Styela clava: one gene and its partners. The protein of the gene in region 2 binds, or shares a complex with, the protein of the main gene of each other region. Links are inferred from orthologs where the notes say so. Each region holds a gene or a part of one and is shown on either strand. Other genes may lie near its edges.

The links.
Region 1: WASH complex subunit 4-like (region 2) and WASH complex subunit 3-like share a complex: the UniProt entries of both Drosophila melanogaster proteins name them as parts of the WASH complex. The link is inferred for Styela clava from reciprocal best matches to the Drosophila melanogaster genes SWIP and CCDC53.
Region 3: WASH complex subunit 4-like (region 2) and WASH complex subunit 1-like share a complex: the UniProt entries of both Drosophila melanogaster proteins name them as parts of the WASH complex. The link is inferred for Styela clava from reciprocal best matches to the Drosophila melanogaster genes SWIP and wash.

What each region holds. Positions count from the first base shown.
Region 1 is NC_135255.1:16,060,054-16,066,621, forward strand, and holds WASH complex subunit 3-like, read right to left. Parts: upstream 2,249-6,568; 5' UTR 2,071-2,248; coding exon 2,020-2,070; intron 1,912-2,019; coding exon 1,747-1,911; intron 1,347-1,746; coding exon 1,168-1,346; intron 1,059-1,167; coding exon 963-1,058; intron 683-962; coding exon 580-682; 3' UTR 504-579; downstream 1-503. Other genes in the region: uncharacterized protein LOC120331925, read left to right, coding at 3,418-3,509, 3,775-3,868, 4,798-4,895, 5,643-5,749. UniProt on the Drosophila melanogaster protein: Acts at least in part as component of the WASH complex which may regulate wash nucleation-promoting factor (NPF) activity and is required for its membrane targeting during endosomal sorting.
Region 2 is NC_135264.1:10,522,945-10,530,729, reverse strand, and holds the start of WASH complex subunit 4-like, read right to left. Parts: upstream 3,021-7,785; 5' UTR 2,986-3,020; coding exon 1-2,985. UniProt on the Drosophila melanogaster protein: Acts at least in part as component of the WASH complex which may regulate wash nucleation-promoting factor (NPF) activity and is required for its membrane targeting during endosomal sorting.
Region 3 is NC_135263.1:1,569,169-1,576,762, forward strand, and holds the start of WASH complex subunit 1-like, read right to left. Parts: upstream 3,040-7,594; 5' UTR 2,983-3,039; coding exon 1,576-2,982; 3' UTR 1-1,575. Other genes in the region: large ribosomal subunit protein eL31-like, read left to right, coding at 6,119-6,178, 7,098-7,195. UniProt on the Drosophila melanogaster protein: Acts as a nucleation-promoting factor by activating the Arp2/3 complex to induce actin polymerization. Participates in both linear- and branched-actin networks.

The DNA of each region.
Region 1 (6,568 bases), on a different chromosome or scaffold from region 2:
AGGCAATTCGCTGTGTTCATTTCGATATGTCTTGATTGTCATAGGTTAGAACAAATGCTATTTTTCTGATTCTGTGGTTTTAAATGATCTCCTTCAAATCGAGGAAGAATGCAAATTTGTGATGTGTATTAAATTATTTGCGAACTTTATTTATGTTGTAATTAATATTGCACCTCTGAAAAAGGTAATAAAGATCACTGATTCAAAGTTTGTTTGTATTGGAAGGGGTGTCCTGGTAAATGCCAGCCATGCGATTTTCAAACTGTTTGGTAGGGCAGGGCCCCAATGAAATATTCTTCCTGAAGCTTGAGACACTGTACACATAACATTATAGACTCAGATTTGAATGCAAATTCCCAGAAACCCTGGCCTAGAATGTACTCGAATCCTGTTTCGAAACCACTGTTATATAGCAGATTTCATGAGCGAACAGGACTTGAATTTAACTTCCTTACACCAGAGCAGCTCCAACCTGTAACTGCTATTGAAACAACATATACAAATTGTTAAAATCTCAATATGCTTAATAATATTGCACCAATGAAGAAATCAGAAAAATAAATAAAAACACTGCAACAATCAATCACTGAAATCGTCATTTGAAGATAAACTTTGACTCTCGTTATCAGAATCTTCATCAGTTGGAGCTTGTCCACCATCAGGTACAGGGGCATCAGGCGTACTGAAATTAACACAAAGTACTGTTATTGCAAACATAGGTATCAATTTCATGCTCATTAACATGGTTAAAATATTCATCTGAAACCTATCAAATTGCTGACCTTTTTACAAACCAGACTGGTATATATTTAGAATAGCCATGGGAGAGAAAAGCTGTAGAGACAACCCTTTCATATGCACACTACATCCTCGCATCCGATTACCAGTCCATGTCAGCTATAGCATTAGTTGGTGGTTTTTTTGTTTGAAATTTGAAAAAAACATCACCAGATCCAACTTACTCGAGCATATCTGGATCCAAACCTTCAGCCCTCATTTTATTTGCAACTGCCATCTTCGGTACACCTACCATCACCATCTTGAGGTATTTGGCATATCTAGAAGTAAAAAATTGTTAAGACCAAATATACCAGAAGAAGCGATGAGTAAAGACAAATTTTTTAGAAAAATAACAGATAAACTAGGAAAATTTTTTTAGAACAGTACCTGGCATCATTCTTAACTAATACAACATTAGGATCAGGGGCAGGTGGTTCATTATCTTCAGCAGGGGGAGGGGCCTCAACCCCATTAGGGGTAGGGGTACTGACAGGCTCTGTTGAGGCAGGTTGAGTAGGTGACGGTTCCTCTTTCTTGACATCATCAAGGCCAGGAATGGATGAAAGCTAAAAATACAATTGAAATTAAGTTTTGGGCCATCACATCAAACTAAGCCAATATGCATTTTGTAAATCAATAGACAGAACGTATTCAATCAGTCCTATAATTTTTTTTTAATTTTCTCCATCTCAAAAAGAGAAGAAATAGTTTTATTTGAAGTCACATTCAGTTTACCATAGTTTGCTATTATAAAATAATGATCGATCCAATTTTGTTTTCGTCATCGATATAATATTAATGAATATATATATATGAGTGATATTGTCACAATTGTGTATAACATTTGGTGATTTGGTGAAAACTTTCAACTATCAAGCATATACCGATATAAACAACAGCTATTGTGTAGTCTGATTGTTGAATGAAAATATTTCTCATTTGTTGGAAAAAATAAAGTAAAGTCACCTTAGCTTCTAATATATTCAGAGCTATTTCCATTCTTTGCATCTCTAACGATTGTAATGCCAACTTTTCCTCTGCCATGTTTGAGAATTTATTGAGAAAATTTGCAGTGTGTGTGATAAAGTGGTTCATAAATGTCACAGAACGCCGTTGATTAAGCGGCGCCATCTTGAAATAAAAAATACGCAGGTAAATTATCATTTTATGGAAGAATATTTAATGGTCTAGTTTACAGTAGCGGTACCAGTAGAAAAAAAATTATCAAATATTACGTACTTTTGTAAGATCCACAGTTGGTCCCAAAGCGGGAAGATTAACGTCATCCATTATTTTGAACTGAACTATTTACTGTCCATATATTTTGATAATCGCATATATTAATCTTATTCCGTTTTTTATTTAGCTGTATTTTATTTTAGTAAAAACAACAACATTTCTTCAAATTACAATGTCCGCTGCCTAATCCCTCTCTATAACAGCGAGCCCAGGATACGATACGGTGAATGACTTTTATAAGAACAAACCAAAAATCAGCAGACGATCGACAGTTGAGAAAAAAGGCAGCAAGGTGCCTTATAAAAATTAAATAAGCGACGTCGCATTAGGATAAACAAAGGTATAAATGGATAACTTTGGAGGTGCGCGCATGTGGACCTGCCAATGGGCCAAACACACCAAAAAACTATTGAAAATTTACCCCAAGCTTCATATTTTTAGCCTGAATCGATGTGGTAGATTTGTCACGTGATCAGCCGCCATTACAACGTTCTTTGCCCAGCGGTCGTTCTATCCGTTGAGCGCAGTCAGCGACGAGGTGACGCATAGACAAAGAAATAGCACACGGCTTATGCGGGACCTTCCTCATGCGTATGTAATGTGGGAGTCGAGCGTTTGGGTTCCAAATCGGCCGTTACTGCATGATTTGTCGAGTATCGAGAGTTGATTAGGCCAAGTCGCGAAAACAAAACGGCGCGCTTCAGATATTTTTGCCTTCCCTTGGCCTAAAAACAAAATGGAGGCCGTTTTACATTTTAGCCACATTATTACCTCACCAAAGACGTCGATTTTTCGATTTTGTGACGTTGGTAAAACTTGGATTTTAAATCTTTTCTGGCCGAACTTAATTTCGCTTCACTTGTGTCAGTTTTGGAAAAAAGAGCGGAAAATAGTTATCAGTTTACAGGTTTTGGTGTTAGAGCGTCGATGGCAATTACTGAGTTAGGAAAGCCGGCAAATCGTTGTTGGGCAGTATAAGTGCGTTTATGGAATGTTTCTGCCCTGATTTTCGTAGTATTCCCGAGAATAGGAGAGACAAATATATATGATATTAATTTATCTAATCCAGCCATACCAAATTCATCAGAACGTCACATCGCCTGATTCAGTAGATATTACCTAAGCGTTTGAATTCACTGCCAGCCAGCTGCCTTGTACACCCGATCGCGGGTATCGCCCGTGGAAAGACGTATCACTTATTTAGATTTCCCGCTTTATATTACGCGACTTGTGCGAGAATACCGGCAAAGGAGAGTTGATAGACTGATTGGCAGCCCGTTTTGCAAACGCTTCAAGGAGTACAGGCAAATATATCTGACGTGCAAAGGTAACTCATGCTATGTGTTGCTACAGCTATATATTGATATTATCCAATGTTCCAAGCAATAATTTTTCAATATGGAAAGTAGGAGAGATTCACACAACTCATCTGAGCAAGGACAAAAGGAAGCTTTTTTAAATGAGCTTAGTCAATTTCTTTCGGACAAAGGGTAAGCTAAAGCCATAATACAATTCAGTTAACTTCTTGTACTACTTAGGGCATACACAAGCATAAATCATAACACACTGATTTTTCATCTAAACAATTTTAAGTCAAGTCTTTATTGCATCATATGTATTAAAATTTGAAATCCAAATTTAAAAATTTATTTGATGTTAAATCTTTCACGTTTTGATTTTAGAATTAGTACAGTAGTAGATTGTTTTATTTGTTGAAGTGATTTTTTCTAAACCTTTATGTTATTAATATTTCAGGAGATATGTTTGTCGAACTCCAAATCTTGCTGGCCGAACGATAGATCTTCACGATTTATACAACAAAATTACTCAAGCTGGCGGATATCAGAAGGTCTGTTGTTGATATTTATGTTGATGCATTTTCTCTTGTTTCTTTCTCACTGTTTTGTATTAGTGAACCTCACTGTTTCTTCATTTTATTTCAGTATTTGTACAATCAGACAATTTATGTAATTTCACTCTTGGTGAAGCATGTATGTGTTTATACCCTTTTTATTTTTACTTATGGCTTTTACAACTTATGGCCATGGCTTGACTTCCATGATTTATATTTTGTCAAGCGACTAAAATTTTTTGATATGTACAGTAATATATATGTTGGTATTGTATCTATGTTTGCAAATTCCAAATAATTTCATTATTTATATGCTGTTTGATTCGGTTTAAATTAATATAGGTAAAATATTACCACACATATTATGATATTAAACTAAAATCCTCAAACTTATTTCAAGATGGTTTTAATTTCAATGTTTTCCAGATTTTCACATATGGAAATTTATCGTGGATATAATTTTTTGTGAATTATTCTTGTTGTAACTAAAGGCCATTATCTTGATAATAGCTGTATGCTTGCTTTGGTTATTTTTTTGCCCGATTTTTGCAGTCTTAGCTTAGTGACAAAAACAAATATATCTGCGTAAGGTAATAAACCACAACAATTCACCTGTATGCATAATTTCATTTCAACATGCTTACAAACAGTAACAACTTTTTTTCTGAGAGTGTTTAAGTGACATGCAATTTCATAGTTTTTCAGTCTCCAGATTTCATTATAATTTTATTTACATAGATACTATGCACAAATAGTATACAGGCTTTTCTCTGAATATATGCTGCAACTTGACTAGTTGTTGGAAATTGTTCTCTATACTGCACGCCAAGTAGCACTGGCTACTGCTACTAACTAACATCATCGAGTGGGGGCTAATTGTGTTTTATGTGTAAATGTAATCTAACCAATGGATCAATTCATTTTAGGTGACTGATAGAGGGTTTTGGGAAGATTTTTTGGAATACTATGGGTTTCCTGGAATATCAGCGACTCTTGCCTTTGGATTGCAGAAGATTTATCAATTGTAAGTCTTTAAGCCTGCCTTGCCTGCTGGCCAAAGCCATAATATTTTGAGATATTATTAAATGTATTTTGAGGTTTTGGGTTTAATAGAGAAGTAGACGAAACTAATATATATTTTAATCAAACTCAATTTAATAGAAAAATATTCGAAACGAAAGTAGCAGGTACATGCTAGAATCCTTATTTACACCAATCATTTTCATTGTTTTGATGAACCCATGTTAAGTCAGTGATACATGTTCACTTCAAAATGAAGTCAGTTTGAAAGCTTTGAGATGCAGTTTGCTAATGATACCATTGGAATACTCTCTTCTTATTCGTAATGTATAGCAGCTGTGTGTTGTGATTTTGAAAATGTAGGGTTGCATTTATAAAATTATTTGCTTTTCTATGTTAATTAAAGCTTTCCACAGTTTGAATTGTTGTTTAGAAAAAGACAGGATTGCCAATTTTTTGTCAGTGTATAATATGTCAAATTATCAAGTAACCCATTTGTCAATAATAGGAGCTAACAGTCCATAGGTTTTGTGGAATTTGAAACAAGACTTTATAAAACTAATATGAAAATACTGTAGTATTTTGTTAGGAGTCTCTTGTAGAAGGTATTTGATTTGTTAAGATTCTGTCTGGCGCAAGTAGAATTACTGTGGAAAGACTTCTAATTGTCTTATTTTACACAGGTTTTTAGCCTTGTCTCATTTTTCATATTAACGTATACCTTCAACGTTTTACTTTTACTCATTCGTAGATATTTAGAAGATTATGAACGGGTTCATTTCTTTGGTGACGATGAGCCACAACCTTACTCTCGACTTTACGACGGAAAATTGAGAAGATTCAGATATCCAATATCTGGTTAGTTTTTTTTAATATTTTGATAAATTTATCGAAAAGTGTTTTATCTGTAGGTGAATTTTTTCGTATATATTTCGACGAGAATTCTCATTTCAATGAAAAGTTTGTTATTAGAATTTTTGTGAATTCTTTGCAACTATGGACTTCAACTTTTATGATTGAGTTTACCTTGGCATGAGAAGGTACTAAATATAATTTATAGTAACTAACCATCCACTCTGCCCTCCATACCTTTGAGCTCATGGTAAATGTATAATTTAAATATGCTGTAGCAATAATAAAGATGACTATTCTATCTGATTCGAGAGACTATTCTATCTGGCTGCACATCAACACAAATGTATTTCTGTAACTTTCGTTCCTGCAAGATTGTTGAATCACAGAGAACTATTGTAATAATAACCAAGAAAACTTATTCGATATAAAACATTTTTGATCTAATATTTATTAATTCAAGCAAAAATAATGTGGTTGTTCTGTATGTGAGATTCATGTGGCACATAATACCAGTATATAAATTTCAGAGATAACTAACTTGTTATTGCCATTTGCCAATGACGTTGTATATGTTAATGCTGGAACATTTTATCCAAAAATGCCATCTGTTGAGCAAAGCATATGATACCCACGAGACAATTGAAATTTTTTGTAACCTGACGAATAGCAGGAAATTATGAAAAACATGTACATTTTCCACAGTGTTATGTCTCTTACATTATATTTTGCAAATGTCTACATTAGTGAACCATAATTTAATTTATTATTAATATGCTATAATGAATACAAGAGCATTTAGCTAAATTTGAAATCAAGAAAGTG
Region 2 (7,785 bases):
CAAATGCATGTTTTTCTGACTGCGGAATTCTTGCGAAAAAACATCAACAAGTTTGGTAAAATAATCCGATCCTTCAGCGGAATTTTTCGACAAGGTATCAATCACAGTATCCAAATGTGACGCGGCTTCATTTACTTCATCTCCTATGTTTTCCTCTCTCACTAGTTCATTGAAACTCACGATATCATCAAGATCAGGAACGAAACGTATTGCATCACTGCAATAATGAATTCCGCCAGACCTTACCATGCGAACATATCCCATTGCATTTCCTATATGAGAAACGAGCAGTCGGAATTGATCCAAATAACTATGACCCTCAGGTGAAAGACCGAGCTTTCGAATCCCTTTATTGAATCTGTCAGCGCGATCGTAGGGATACCTCTGTCCGAGTGCGACACGATTTTCCTTGAAATTCCGAATATCTTTAATAAGTCTTGATTTGATGTGTTCATCGTACAAAAACTGAGAAAAAATGTAAAATTTTTTCTTTAGAAATTGGAAAGTAAAATTCACTGTCGTATTCATGATTCCAGTTCCGTGGGTTCGTACGGAATTCGCAACGTGGCGAATATTGATCGTGTTTAGATGCTTGTTGTTGCTAGACTTTTCAACAAATATCTGATTATTTAGGTTGTAGAGATATTTCGAAACAAATACGTGAATATTTCTCATGATTTCCAAGACATCAAGACCTTGTTCAAGAGTCTGATTTGGTAGATGAACCTCTTGCATTCTGAGTTGATATTTCTGTACAGCCAAATTTCTCATTTCTCCGTAGGTTCGCCAGTCGTGCAAAGCCACAGTTGTCAAATTATAGAATGTCGTATCGATGTAATGTGACACATAATCTTTTATGTCAATCATCTGGTTCAGAAAATGTAGCGGTTTAATGGACAATAATTGTCGAAGGCCTTTCAGTCCAACTTTATACGGGTTTCTATCATCTAATTTTAAATGGGTATGGACAGACAGGCGTAGGTCGTTTTCAATCTCCTTGCATACTTTCACTAACAGGTTCTGTTTCAAAATTGCTATAACATCTTCGGAGTAATGTTTCACCAGTTCTTCTGTGTTTTCAACATGTTTGCTTCTACGTATATGGGGAACACAATCATTCAAAACAGAAAACATATAATGCATTTGACCTGCATCTGTAGGATCTTGACAAACTCCGTCAAAAAATATTCCAAGGACTGCACGATGCCAGTAAAAGAAAGAAAAATCAGATGCTCTACGAATAGATGATTTAAGGCTGTTTCCAAAAATAATCAATCTGTCGATCATCGTCTTGACAACACCCAATTCCTCATCTTTAAATACTCTCATTTGATCGGCGATACTGATGGCTAATTTTGTAACAAGAATTCTTTGAGCTGTCGGTGGTCCGTTAATAGAATTCGAAGCAAGCATGATAGCTGATAATATATCGAGCCTTCGATCGCTGTATTTTTTGTCGACTACGATTCTTCTTTTTCCCATTTGTAAACCAGCAAGAATTTGGTATTGTAAATGCTGCACCATCTGTTGTTCATTTTCCATAACTTGCATCGCACAACGATGAAAACTGTCTTCAATAGCTTTCGCTAATCCCATAATACGACAAAGAGCCAATACTTCAGATCTTGACATTGGTTTTTGCATTGCTGCATGCAGATTCATCACTTGGCTTACCATGTTACTTAAACCAAAAGATAAATATATTCCCTCCAATAGAATTTTGACTTTGTTATTGAGATCGGCAGTTGATTTGTCTTGCGTCTGTATAGACTCCATTTTGACAAGCCAAGAACTTACTGTCAAAAAGTAACTTTGGGCTTCCCTAGGTAAGGATTGCTGTTTTGAATTCAAGTACGCCAGTCGAGATTGGGTTACTTGATCAGACATTTTCTTGTCGATTGCTTTTCCAGCAAATCGTTTCAAAAACTCATCAGCGAACCAAATGACGTTACTAGTCAAAACAACGCATGGCAGCTTCTTGTAAACATCCCACAATTGGCGAAAAAGTCGCTTGTCCAAGTCTCGAAAAATCATCACATGAAGAGCGAATAAAGCACATAATTCCACATACTGTAACCTTTGAGTCGTTTCAGTTCCGTCACCAATTTTCGGTTCTACATTTCCAAAAATAATTTTTATATTGGTAGCAAATTCTTCAGCAAAAAGTGTATTTTTACTGACTGGAATACCAGTGTCGTCATAATTTTGTAGCCAGCAATGATCCAGTATTTTACCATCTAAAATCTGCCTTTCGATTCTGGCTAACATTTTTTCAAACGGTTTTATTTTATCCGCATCGACGCCATATTTAGACGGATCCTGATATACAGACTTCAACACAACTTTATATTGAATCCAATGGTTCTTTAACACAGTATTAGCAGCTACAATTTCATTTAAAGTAATCATGATGCGCAGTAACGCTCCGATACTTTCAAATACAGTTGTAAAGTGAATTTGTCCGACTTCCATAACTTTAGGCATCGTTTTGTTATGTAGTGCTGCAAGTTGTAAGATCATGTTTTTTAAGACTTCTTTTCCTCTTGTTACAAAGCTTGACAATCTTTGTAATAATGGCAAAAGACGACCAATTTGGGATTGTCGTGTTCCATCTTCTTCCTTTATTTCTACTCCTTCGCCATAGAACAATAACGCATCATAAAATTCTTCCTTTGCCTCTTTTTCCAAATGCTGTACTTCGAGGCATAAAGAAGATAACGCGATTATAATCTTATTCAACACTTTGTTTTCTGTGTTTATCAAATCCAAAAGTGACGTCCTTTCATGCGGAGATGTGTCCAACGAAATCGGATCCAAATGCCTATCCCATGCATCAAGGCTATAACTTCCGAGAGCCGTTTCCAAATCCGCAAGTTGCTGGGAGTACCCTGAAATGAACTTGGAATAGCTTCGTAGTTGTATTTCCCCAGCTAGCTTTTCAGTACCATCGTCTAACACCCAATCCTGTTGTTCAGTAGCGGCCATAATTGTCAAAAAGCATTTAATTAGGGCTAATTATTAGCTGTGTTGCATAAGCATAAAAAAAAAAAAACTAATAATATAGACACTACCGTACCATCAGAAGCTTGATATAGATATGGGGTCTGTGGGTGGTATATTCCTGTCTTTGCTCAAATAATGAAATAAAGACTACAGACAGTAAGCGCTGCGGTGTGGCTCAACGGGCTAAGCGTTATGAATACGCTCGCCAACGTCGCACCTCTAATTACTCTGCATGGGTTCGCAGGTTCGAATCCCATGCAGGGATGGTTATGTGCGAGAGGATTGCTGGACTCCTCGCCGTCGTTGGGTGGTTCACGTAATACCGGTAGCTACTGATACGGTATAACATTGCCATGTATCGTACCGTACCGTGTGGCTCGGTGGTGTCGCGCATCGAGCTAAGGCTGAAAACGAAAAACTGTCTGCTATTTCCCGACTAAAATGACTACCGGTACCGGTATATCTTTTTTAATATCACGATCCCGATACGTCCCTACTGAAATGGCTGTGTTTGTTCTGTACTTAATAAAAAGACCATGTCCGCAATGTCTCTACTAAAATAGCGATGTCCCTTCTAAAATCGCGATCTCGATACCTTCCTACTAAAATGGCTATGGCTATGTCCGCTATTTTCCCACCTTTTAAAATCGCGACAACTTCCTACTAAAATGGCTATGTCAGCTATGTACATACTAAAATAGCGATATCCTTTGAAGCAACTTTTTTTGTAAATTTTTTGCTTAACTCAAAACAATTCTAGCCATTTTTGGTAAGAAGCCAGATTAATGAAATATCACATCGTATCTTTATATATTGTGTGCCAACCAAACGAGGGATTTAGTGCATAAATTACAAATCAAGTCCATGCAACATCCCCGGAATAAAAATGATATCCTATTCTGAAATTTTGGAATTTTACTTAAACAATCTCGAAATTTTACAAATTAAGAAAAAGTGCACACATAAAGCGAATTTTGCGTAGATTGGCAGGTTCGGGCACAGAGGGGATAACTATGTGAGAGATGATTGCTGGACTCTCCACTGCCGGGTCACGCAACTGCCTCATATAAAACAAATATCTGGCAAACCAATTACGTACCCGACATGGACTGGTAACCGGACGAGGGGCCATAGTACGCCATACGATTAGGTCGTTTTATCGACTTTCCTATCCAACGTGATAAAAATGATATCTTATTCTTATGCCCAATAGGCTAAGGCTACATCAGCTACCGAGGGGGTCTATTGCCCCCAATTAAACACTAAGTTCCACTGAAATAAGTAAGTTCATTTCGATTTTTTGATACAATAAAACAAAGAAGCGAAATACGCGCAAAACTAACAAATAGCGGAAAATCAGAAAAGTGCGCAAAATCTAAAAAATAAAAATCTGATACCCTTTCACTTACCCTACAGCCCAAACAGCAAACAACACATTAAAGTAAATTTAAATAATATATATTTCAGGCATAAATACTTGGGTGCAAACGTCCAACTTTAAAATTAAATTAGATGTAGGAAATAGAATCGTCAACACGAAGCAAAGCAATCGGAAGCAAAGCAATCGGAAATCGGTCTGAATTCATTGAAAAAGTAAAACAAAAAATTATTACAAAAAACTATTTGTTGCAGAAATGACAAAAGGAAGCTCTATGGTGAAAAGGAGTTCTTTCAAAAGAAATAATAAACTAGAATAATATAAGCTTCGAATAACTGACGATTAATATGAAAGTCTCATTGCTGAATTTTATAGACAGCTAGTTTCTGATCTGTATAGGGAAATATGAAAAAATATGTAATCTACTAAAATGCTTGTGGTCCCACTGAAATACTCGCATATCCTCAACAAAGTGCATATAACCGGTTATTATATTCACTTGGATAATCACTAAAATGGATACTTCCTTAATATTAAAATGGCACTAGCCGTATGTTAGTAGCCTAGTTTACTAGGAAGATCAAAAGTCAGGTTTTGGATAAATGTGTATTTTTCATACGCAACTTTTTCATTTTTTATCTTACTGAAACCAATTTCCACCGATTTCGTTTTGAAGCAAGTTAAATCAACTACAATAACTATCATAATTCTATGTACGTATTGGCTACCACTGGGGCTGTGATTTCTGGACGAAATTAGAAATTTTGACATCGTGATTCTCACTCAACAATCGCATGATTATTCAGTATTGGAAACTTTTGAAAGTAAACGGATACGTTGAAAATTTGAGTAGAAATTATATATATTTAATGTAATATTGAGTTGTAAACAGGCCGTTATCATTGATAACACGGCCAGATTGCGCCCATACGATTAGCTTTCCTACGTCGGTAGACATTCTCCATCTTTATCGCCAAACTTTGAATGCCCAGTGAACTGTTTTAGTAATAAAATGAACCCTGATTTTAACACAGTTGGTGGGTCCTATCCAGTGGTGAAATTCAAATTTTTTGTCAGCCGGTTTCATCACAAATATCGGTACTCCCGAAGTATGCGCACCAAGATGTCGCACAACCTGAACAATAACTTGGTACACAACCTGAGTTCAGGTTGTGCGCCATCTTGGTGCGCATACTTCAGGAGGTCCCAAATATCATATGCCGGTAACAGTCGGTTCTGTTACAAACAGAACATTGACAGTAATCAGTAAAGCTAACCGGTTTGCTGATCTCATAAAATTTCTTGAGACGGTTCTATAGAACCGGTGCGAACCGTCTGAATCCCACCACTGGTCCTATCCCATACATCGGTATTACAGGAGTAAGCATATTATTATGGATGTATTGCACAAATGACGCGATTTTTTTTCTGAATTTAGCTAATTATGGCTTAGCTGTAAAATGCATGATGCCAGTGTCGGGATATAATAGGGCGTGATCGAAATCTTATGGACCTTTCCCCGAGCATCAACTTCCTTGTTTACTTCGTGACATTGGCCAATCAGGTAGTTGCAAAAAGTGACACTTTTGAAGTGATCCGCTCAGACACTTTTCTCACTCAGGCAGATTTTCAAGTGTGGTTGTAAACATTAACTCGTTTTCGCGTTTTTTTTTTATCTCTATTCGTTAATTTTCAGTTGCGTTTCGGAAACTTAAATAAAAATCAGATAATTCAATGATCACTCTGTCTTCCTAGGAGTTTTAATTTAATTGCAATAATAAAAAATTAGTGTAGAAATAGCTGTGATAGACTAGCCTGAAATTATTTACCGGTACTTTTAAAAAACAGATTGTTGTATGCGATGAATCATAATGATGGCTTGGAACACATACCCAATTTATAGGCGCCAACTCGCAAAAGCACTCTTAAAATAGCCCCGAAAATTTTGCAATGATAAAGTATAGGAAGAATTTTCCGGCGGTCAAAGGTCGGGGAAAGGTCCATACATAAAAGCACAACGGATGTTAAGCACTAGATACAGTAAAGTGAAGGGAAACTATATCCTATGAAAAAATCCAATAAAAATGAAATATATTTAAAATCGGCATATTGATCCGACAAAAATTACCTTCTTGAAAATTCTGGGAATCAGGAATCGAGTAACAAGCCTAAACTCCGGGATTTCGGGATTGTTGTTTTATCATATATATTAAATTGTCTTGTACAATTCGCTTGGAGTAGATTTGTTCTATTTTTCAGGGACTTCGTTTCTACTGCATAATAAATAGTGCATTTATTATTGTAATTAATTCAATATCATTTGCAACTGCATGTAGTACCAGTTTCTCAAAAAATAAATTCACACTGGCCTTTGAACTCACCAAACTGTAGAAGTGATCGAAAAAAATCCCATTCTGGCAAACTACAACCACTCGTCCGGCTCCCATGTCTAACACGAGTAGCTAACTAATCAATTATGCCAGCTAGCTGCATGAATTAAGTCTGTAAGGATGGGTGTAGAACTCCTCGTGACTTCAAAATCCCACACACCGCCTTAAAAAAATTATTTGTGGATCGGAACAAACGGATTTTGCCCGGAAATATAATATTTTGTCCAAAAATAGTTTCATGCTTCGGGCACACAATTTAGGGTACTTATGCGATTTTGCTGCTCGTGATTGACCATTGTTGGGAAAAATAAAAAATATTTGGGTTGGGCATTGAGTTTAGTAAAATATTCATTGTGTGAATATAAATAGCTTTAGTGAGATGATATACAGCCTGTGAATGACTTTGAATAAAGACGTTAAGGCCTTCAAACCAAAATAACATCTATTTGAGGCACAAAAACTTGATATGTCAATTCAGTGTACTCGATATAGATAATTTAGAAAGGCGATCAAGTAAAATTGTACCCGATATTACTTGAATTACATCTTCAAGAGACTCGGCTTGTCCATGTATTGTCGAGATTCGTTGTTCCCATATTAATCCAGATGTTAACTATAAAAACTGTTAATTTTACCCCTTTCGAAAACGTTTCAAAATAATCTAATTTTCAATTACGGATATTAAAATAGCGACGAGTTTTCGAAGTATACAGAACGTTGTGACAATAGCCCACTATATTCGAAAACGTCTGATTTGATTGCTGTGGATTGATGATATTTCTGTTTTACCTGACATAGGATATGACCGAAATTCTCGAGCGGCAAGTAAATGGATAAGGTAATCAAAAATGTAATTGTAAAACAGTAATTTTCAATTTATTAATTAAATCACCACGTTTGGTGTCTACTTTAACAAAACCTGGGTAGAGGTAAATACGAGAAACAACTTACGAGCAAAAGCAATGTAATGAATGTAACATCTTTGTGTTTCTACGTCAGCACACACACAATATA
Region 3 (7,594 bases), on a different chromosome or scaffold from region 2:
TGCATGTGCATTTATCATATCTCGGACCAGAAGCCCATTGATTTTGGATGAATTATGTCGTATAATTAGCAAGTTAATAATTGATTAGTGATGGGACATGCGGTGTCACTATAGAGTCATGAATTGAAACTGCAGTTTCCATCGATAAGTCTTTGGTCTCCGACCGATATTCTCGTTTTATCCTTAATTGATTGCTGTGACATCACAGACAAAAAAAATTGAATTCTACAGTTTTGAATTTGAGAGTTCTAAGAGTTGTACAAAATGAATCTCAAATTTAGATATATCGCAGAAAGACTTAAGACAAAAAGCATGCGATTCTGAAAACACTCCCACTGTATGATCTAACCAAGCGTTCTCTAATACTGTTAATAAAAAAAACCTTGTTCATCTAAATATATTTTTGAATTTCTATGGAAAATTTCAACTTCAATTATCGCTAATAAATGTCTGAAATTGGTCTCTTCCATGGCACACAAATAAATAGTGATTTGAATGTTTAAAATAAAATATTCTATATACTTAAATTTATACTACAAAACTTGCACAATTATTGGTGATTCAGTCAAAAATTTTAATACAGTATCCAAATTTTTATTGATTTTTATATTCTTATTCAATGATTTTCCCAAAACAGTTTTTATATAGCATCTCGCCGTAAACATTTTTGGATCTTTTATACCAGGGGTGAGAAGTCGATTGTGTCTGATGTTGAGTGAATTTAATAACATACCGGTACCCTAAAAAATTGCCACTCTAGACCCAGTTTTTGTGTGGCGATTTCATTAAAAATGCGCCCACACAGCCAAACTTATTGGCAGCGATGTAATTTTTCGTATGCATTTGTGCAGTTATCTGCATATTCAGCACTCATTTGTTTTTGTGTATGACCTCATTACCGATCAGTCGATCGTGAGCTATTTTGAAGATTTTAGTCGATCGCGGCTGAAAACAGGTTGGCCACCCCTGTTTTATACAAAGCCTCGCCACCTCTCAAAATAAGAAAATTAGCAATTATCCAGTAAGTGTTAGAAATGCAGATTGCGCTGGGAATTAAAATCATTTCTACCCCAACTGAGTAATTAGCAATTTGATTTTAAAAACGTGGCGTGGTGATTTACTCGAATCTCACATTTTTGCATTGGTTGAAAGATACAAATTTTTTAAATTTACCATTTCCATTTAAAAAATCGGGGCTCCCGAAGTATGCAAACCAAGATGGCGGACATCGGAATGTAATATGTGTACTAGGTTAGGGTTAGGCCATAATTTTATGTATAAATACTACGGGAGGCTCTTGGCTAGTCTTCAAACTGATAATAGGACTAAAATAAGGAAAATTGGAAAAAAATTATCGCCTAACCCTAACCTGTTACGTTCCGATGTCCGCCATCTTGGTTCGCATACTTCGGGAGCACCAAAAAATCTATATTCAAGCTTCATTATTTTTAGTGATTTTAGTGAACTCATTTTGAAAATGTTATATTAATACTCATTTTTTCTCCAAAAACACAAATTTTGATAGTTTTAAAAAAAAAATTTTTGGATTAAATCCTCCCTTCAAATAAAAATTATCTAATTCCAGTCATCATCATCGCCTGCGTCCGTCGTTTGACTTTGCGTCGGCGCTGGAATCATCGCAGATATTTTCTCCATCGCCGAACCGCCTCCAAGGTTACTATTATTATCATTGGCTGAGGCAGGCCGTTCCGCACCCTTAGCTCCCGAAATCCCTTTTCGTCTCATAGCGAGACGGCTTGCTAGATCAGACATCATATCGCCACCGCCTGACGAGCTCGCAGCAGCTTTCGCTTCTTTTTCTTTCTTTTTGGCGAGCTTTCGGTCTTTGCTACTCTTCAGTTTCACTTTTCCGACACCGCCAGCTTTGCGAATCGAGTCGAGTAAATTAGAGCGCCCACCATCAGGAGTAGCAACAGATTGCGGAACTGCGCTCGGAGCAGAGGGGGGTGGTGGTGGAGGGGGCGGGGGAGGAGGCGGGACTCCAGCAGGTGGCGCTGATGTGTTTGGAACAGACGGGGGAGGAGGTGGGGGTGGCGGATTTGAACTTGGAGGTGGGGGAGGAGGCGGAGTTTCCTCTTTACTGCCACTATCTGGAACATCAGGTAACGCATCTCCGACACCTGGTAAATCTGGTAAGTTACTAATTGCGAGTAACGAGGGAGCAATACTCTCGCTCACGTCCGAACTGAACGTTAAATCCGCAACGCCAGGTAAATCAGGCAAATCCATCGGAACGTCGATTTCTGGTACATCCCCCAAATCTGGAACGTAAAAATAATTCTCTGCAACGTGGCGTTCCATTTGTTCTCTATTGCTGATTGACATTGGTGCGTCCCCGAGCCTACTGTCATCTGCTTTCTCTTCATCTAGACCAGTTTTGGTTTTCGTCGTAAAACCGAGAGGATCGAAAATGGTATATTTCTTATACGGGTTCTCGGATGAGTTGAACAGTAATAGCGAACTCAGGGATGCAATATTTGAGGGTAATCCCCCAAGTCCCTCCCCACTTTGATCGACGTATGGAGCCGATTTGGTTCTCGGTCGAGGGAGATTGTAAATTTGCATCTTGTTTTTTAAATTTTCGTCCTCAAATGCTAAATGCCTTGTTTTTATTTTTCGATAATTCTGTTTGACTTCCTTTAACGAGCTTTGCATATCTTTGAACATTGAAATATATCTCTCTCGTTCTTCGGACGCTGGGTATTTCGAACTAGAAAAAACCTGCGTCGCTCGGTTACTTCCCCGAACTTTTTCGATTCGCGCTTCAGCGGTTTTAATTCTGTCCATCAAAGCATCAAGTTTCTTTTTGTTATCCGCGACTCTGTTGTTCACTCTTGCAAAAACGTCATCTGAAACTCCAGAGAGATAATCTAATGAGTCCGCAAACTGCATGATCGTTTCATTCCGTCGTAAATCGAACGGGATTACTGGAATGCTGTACATTTGCTCTCTTTCTACCATTTTGAATTGTTGTTTATAACTAACAAAAGTTCTGGTAAGGGCAAGAAATCTTTTTAATGTAAAGTCAGTATTCTGAGTTGTAGTTTTTAAGAAATTTGGTCAAAAAATATCATGTCAGCACATATACTCACTCGGAAATAAAGAAGATTGAGTTCTGAGCGAAGTTACAGGCGACCCCTAAACTGTCAAGCCTACTCAAATCTTATTGCACACAAACTTGAAAGCATTTTAGTATTTATGTAATGTCTCAATAATCCATACTTTTTTGAACCAACATCTGAATATGTTGTGATAGTGTGCAGCCAAACTTTCTAAGATACTCAAAATTTTCATGTACTACTCTTACTGCGACATTATACAGTTATATGCATTCTAAAATAATCCCAATTTTTCTTAGATGTGACGCACATCGAAAGATTAGTGATTGATATGTGTTCTTTTTTCATATTCATTAAAGTTCTTATTAAAAAAGTCAATTCGCATACGTTTACGAAACGGTACAAATTAATTCAAGGCACGAGAAGTATGATCTTAGCACGCGTCAGTCAACGCGCATCATCGATTGAATGCCGACATTTTCCCTCGCAGCGATTTCTCTCGTTTAGCGTTTCACTAAGCGCGGTAAATATCTTACGAGTTAAGGAATATTAAATGATAATAAATCGTTCATTAAGGTCGGATATGAAAAACGCTGAATCAGTTAATTGCAGCGTAGGCGGGAACTTGCGTAGTGGGAAAGTCGTTGCCGACCAGTGGTTATGTAAAGTTCAGAGACTTTCTCTTACATAATTAATTGGAAAGCAGCTAATTTCGTTGAAAAGAATTTGTAAACTTTTTTGCATTAGGTTCTTTTATTCACAATAACTTTTCGTTTCTAATTTATTTCGATTACCTTCAAAAATAGCCGAGATACATTCTGTTGTTTATCAGTCTGACATTCCTGCGGTCACAGTTTTTGAGTCGGCGCAATACAATCCTTATGGAAAAAATTGGCCTATCGGGCGGTACTTAAATGCCGATATCTCCGGTAATTCTTGACCGTTTTTCGCAAACATGATATTGTTTTCTTATTTTCACTTAGATCTATCCACTGGCCAGTCTGGATTTCATGGCCTTTTTGAACGAGAAATCGGGCGTGCAATCAGAAATTCCCGCGTGCAAATAAGAATTCCTGGCGTGCAATTATAGCTCACGACGTGCAAAACAACTGCGCTCGGGTGCAACTGACTTTGACATCAGATACCTCTCAATACATCCGCGTAAAATTACCGGTATCGGATAAAAAATACGTTGAATCAGAGAAAAAATGGACTTTTGACCTTTGACCCCAAACATTATTTCTACAGTTTGTCGCTAATTTTGAGAGTGTTTGTGCGACTTTGGATACCGGTACCATTTAAACCGATTTACATTGGTGAGCAATTGCAAATTTTCGGCGTCCAAAATTGATTTCGCTCGCGTGCATTTTTGCGGAGCGCTAGCGCCCTCGGGCGTGCACCTGCCATCCAGACTGGATTCCATGGCAGGTGCACGCCCGAGGGCGCTAGCGCTCCGCAAAAATGCACGCGAGCGAAATCAATTTTGCACGCCGAAAATTTCGGTTTAAATGGTTTTAAAATCAATAATCCAGTAATATAAAGATGCCAAAATATTATAACTCCACAATTGTCGACAAATACCAGCTTGCAAGATTTGGTCCGATCGAAATATTGCGAAGCAAAAAGACCATGGACCTTTCCCCAACCTTTGACCCGCGAAAAATTCCTCTCATTGTTACGTCCTTTTTTGCATCTTGCTGATTGGCCAATGTCACGAAGTAAACAAGGAAGTCGATGCTCGGGGAAAGGTCCATATCGTGTTGAATGTTGGAAATAGGAATCCCGTGAGAATAGTTATGGACGAAAAGATCGCCTCCGCACCAATGGCCAAGTACGGCTCTGATTCAGCGTATTTTTCATACAATAATTTTACACGAATGTACTGAACAGTACCGGTATCTAAAGTTGCTCAAACACTCCCAAAATTAGTGACAAAGTATGAAAATAATGTTTGGGGTCAAAGGTCAAACGTCCATTTTGCTCTAATTTGACGTATTTTTTATCTATTAATTCTACGTAAAAACACTACCAAAATTAATGACAAAGTATGTCCATTTTGCTCTGGTTCAACGTATTTTTTATCCAATAATTTCACGCGGATGTACTGAACAGTATCGGTATCCGAAGTCGCACAAACACTCTCAAAATTAGCGACAAACTGTAGAAATAATGTTTGCGGTCAAAGGTCAAACGTCCATTTTTTCTCTGATTCAACGTATTTTTTATCCGATACCGGTAATTTTACGCGGATGTATTGAGAGGTATCTGATGTCAAAGTCAGTTGCACGCGAGTGCAGTTGTTTTGCACGTCGTGAGCTATAATTGCACGCCAGGAATTCTTATTTGCACGCGGGAATTTCTGATTGCACGCCCGATTTCTCGTTCAAAAAGGCCATGAAATCCAGACTGGCCTGCCATGGAATCCAGTCTGGTCCACTGGTGCAGTTTTTATTTAAATCGGATGAACTTTAATTTTTTTGTAACATACCTACTGAAACCAGGAAACGAACAACTGCTGAACTGGCTAACTAATCACATACCCGAGATGGGCAGTTAATAGAGAGAAAGAGTTTATTTCATTTTGTCAAACCAAGAAATCAATTTATGCACACATAAACAAATATCAAAAAAATAGTTTTCGGTATATGACTGGGGGGCAACGATACGACCTAGGACGAAAAGCCATAGTGCGCTATATAAATAAGCCGTTCTATCGACTTTTCTTTCTGTCGGTACCGGTATAAATATAAAAACTATCTCTGAAATAAGCACAAGAAACAGCGACAGCTTAAAGAGAAAATGGACGACTATTTCAGGGTATTCCCCTCAACTTAATCACATGACGAGCTCATTCAACTGTGAATTTAAAATTCTAAAACGATTAGTTTCTGAAGTTTTGCTCGATTATGAAATTAAAATAATAAATAATTTCAAGATTAAACTAATTTAAACATTTTAGACAAAACCTCCATTTCTTCATAGCGAAAATTTGATAAGTGTTTTAGAAACACAGGTTACGACCTTTGACCCTAGCTTTGATGCTGCTTTTGGATCGAGGTTGTCGATTCGGTCTTTTCGGGAACGTCCTGCCAATCAAGGTAAGTGTTCGATTTACTCCCAATTTTAATCTGTCCTGATCTAAACAATAGTGAAGTTTTTCATTGATATTTTGATAATTATGGAAAATTCATAACTCTTATTTTAAGTTGTCGTTTCTAATTTAGTCCTAAAAGCCGTATATGATACGATGATTTTATCTTTAAGTGGCGTATACCGAAAGAGTTTCTTGTGTAGTATTTTCTGCATTTGCTGTGGGAAAATTGAGGTCACAGCTCAATTGAGTATGTGGTTTACTTCAAAAGCAATTGGCATAATAATCAGAAGGTTCCTATAAGTTATATTATTACCTGTAACCATGCATTTATTGTTTTATGAGAATACTTCTATATGCTTGAAACCTTTTTGAAGGGTGTTGCCAGTTAGGATAGGATAGGATTTACATATTTATCCCGGGGGAGAAGAAAGCCGATAAGACGGCTTATCCATATGGCGAACCACGGCCTCTCGTCCGGTTACCTTTCCAAGTCGGGTATGGGATTAGTTTTTTTACTGTATTGTTTGTTTTCGGAAGCATGGACTTGGTGGTGGAGGAAGCCGTAACCGACCAGCGGTTTCGTGAACCACCCAACGACGGCGAGGAGTCCAGCAATCCTCTCGCACATAACCATCCCTGCATGGGATTCGAACCTGCGAACCCACACAGAGTAATTAGAGGTGCGGTGGCGAGCGTATTCCTAACGCTTAGCCCGTTGAGCCACACCGCCGCGCCGTTATTTCAATTTCCTAATCTTCTGTGTGTTCATCGTTTCATGTTTGTTATTTTCTGGAAAAATTGCAACAAAATTTTTATTATACATGTAATTCTGTCATTTTGTATTGCTGTTGTACAGAGATTCGGATGCCAACGATCATATACTGCTCGATGCCATTATTATTATGGTTATTTCAATTTTGTAGATGGTGGCGAAAAAAGACAAGAAGCGTTCTGGTGGGGCGATGAAAGATGTCGTAACGAGGGAATATACGATTCATATGCATAAGAGGATTCATGGAATGTAAGTTGTTTATTCCATTTGCCAGTTTTTTTGATTTTACCAAGTGTTTTTTTTTATATGTGTTTTTTTTTTATATGTGTTGTTTATCGGTCAAATCAAAATAAACAGGTACTCATTTAATGTCTAATTTTGGTTTTGATAATTACTAGAAAACAGCGTTTTTTGCCGAACAGAGCAAAATGTGCGAAACACTCAATTTTTCCATCGCTTACTGTTCATTTCTGTTTCGCACTGTTTTCAGGGCTAAACCCCATCCAAAAGTTAAAAATGTTAGGTAATCATGCAAACTATAAAAAATGATACTGAAAAGCCAGCATACGAAACGAAGTGCCCTTTTCTTGATGGCGAATTTATGTGCATTTCTGCAGCATTTAAAAATTTGGTAAATTTTGCAAAGTT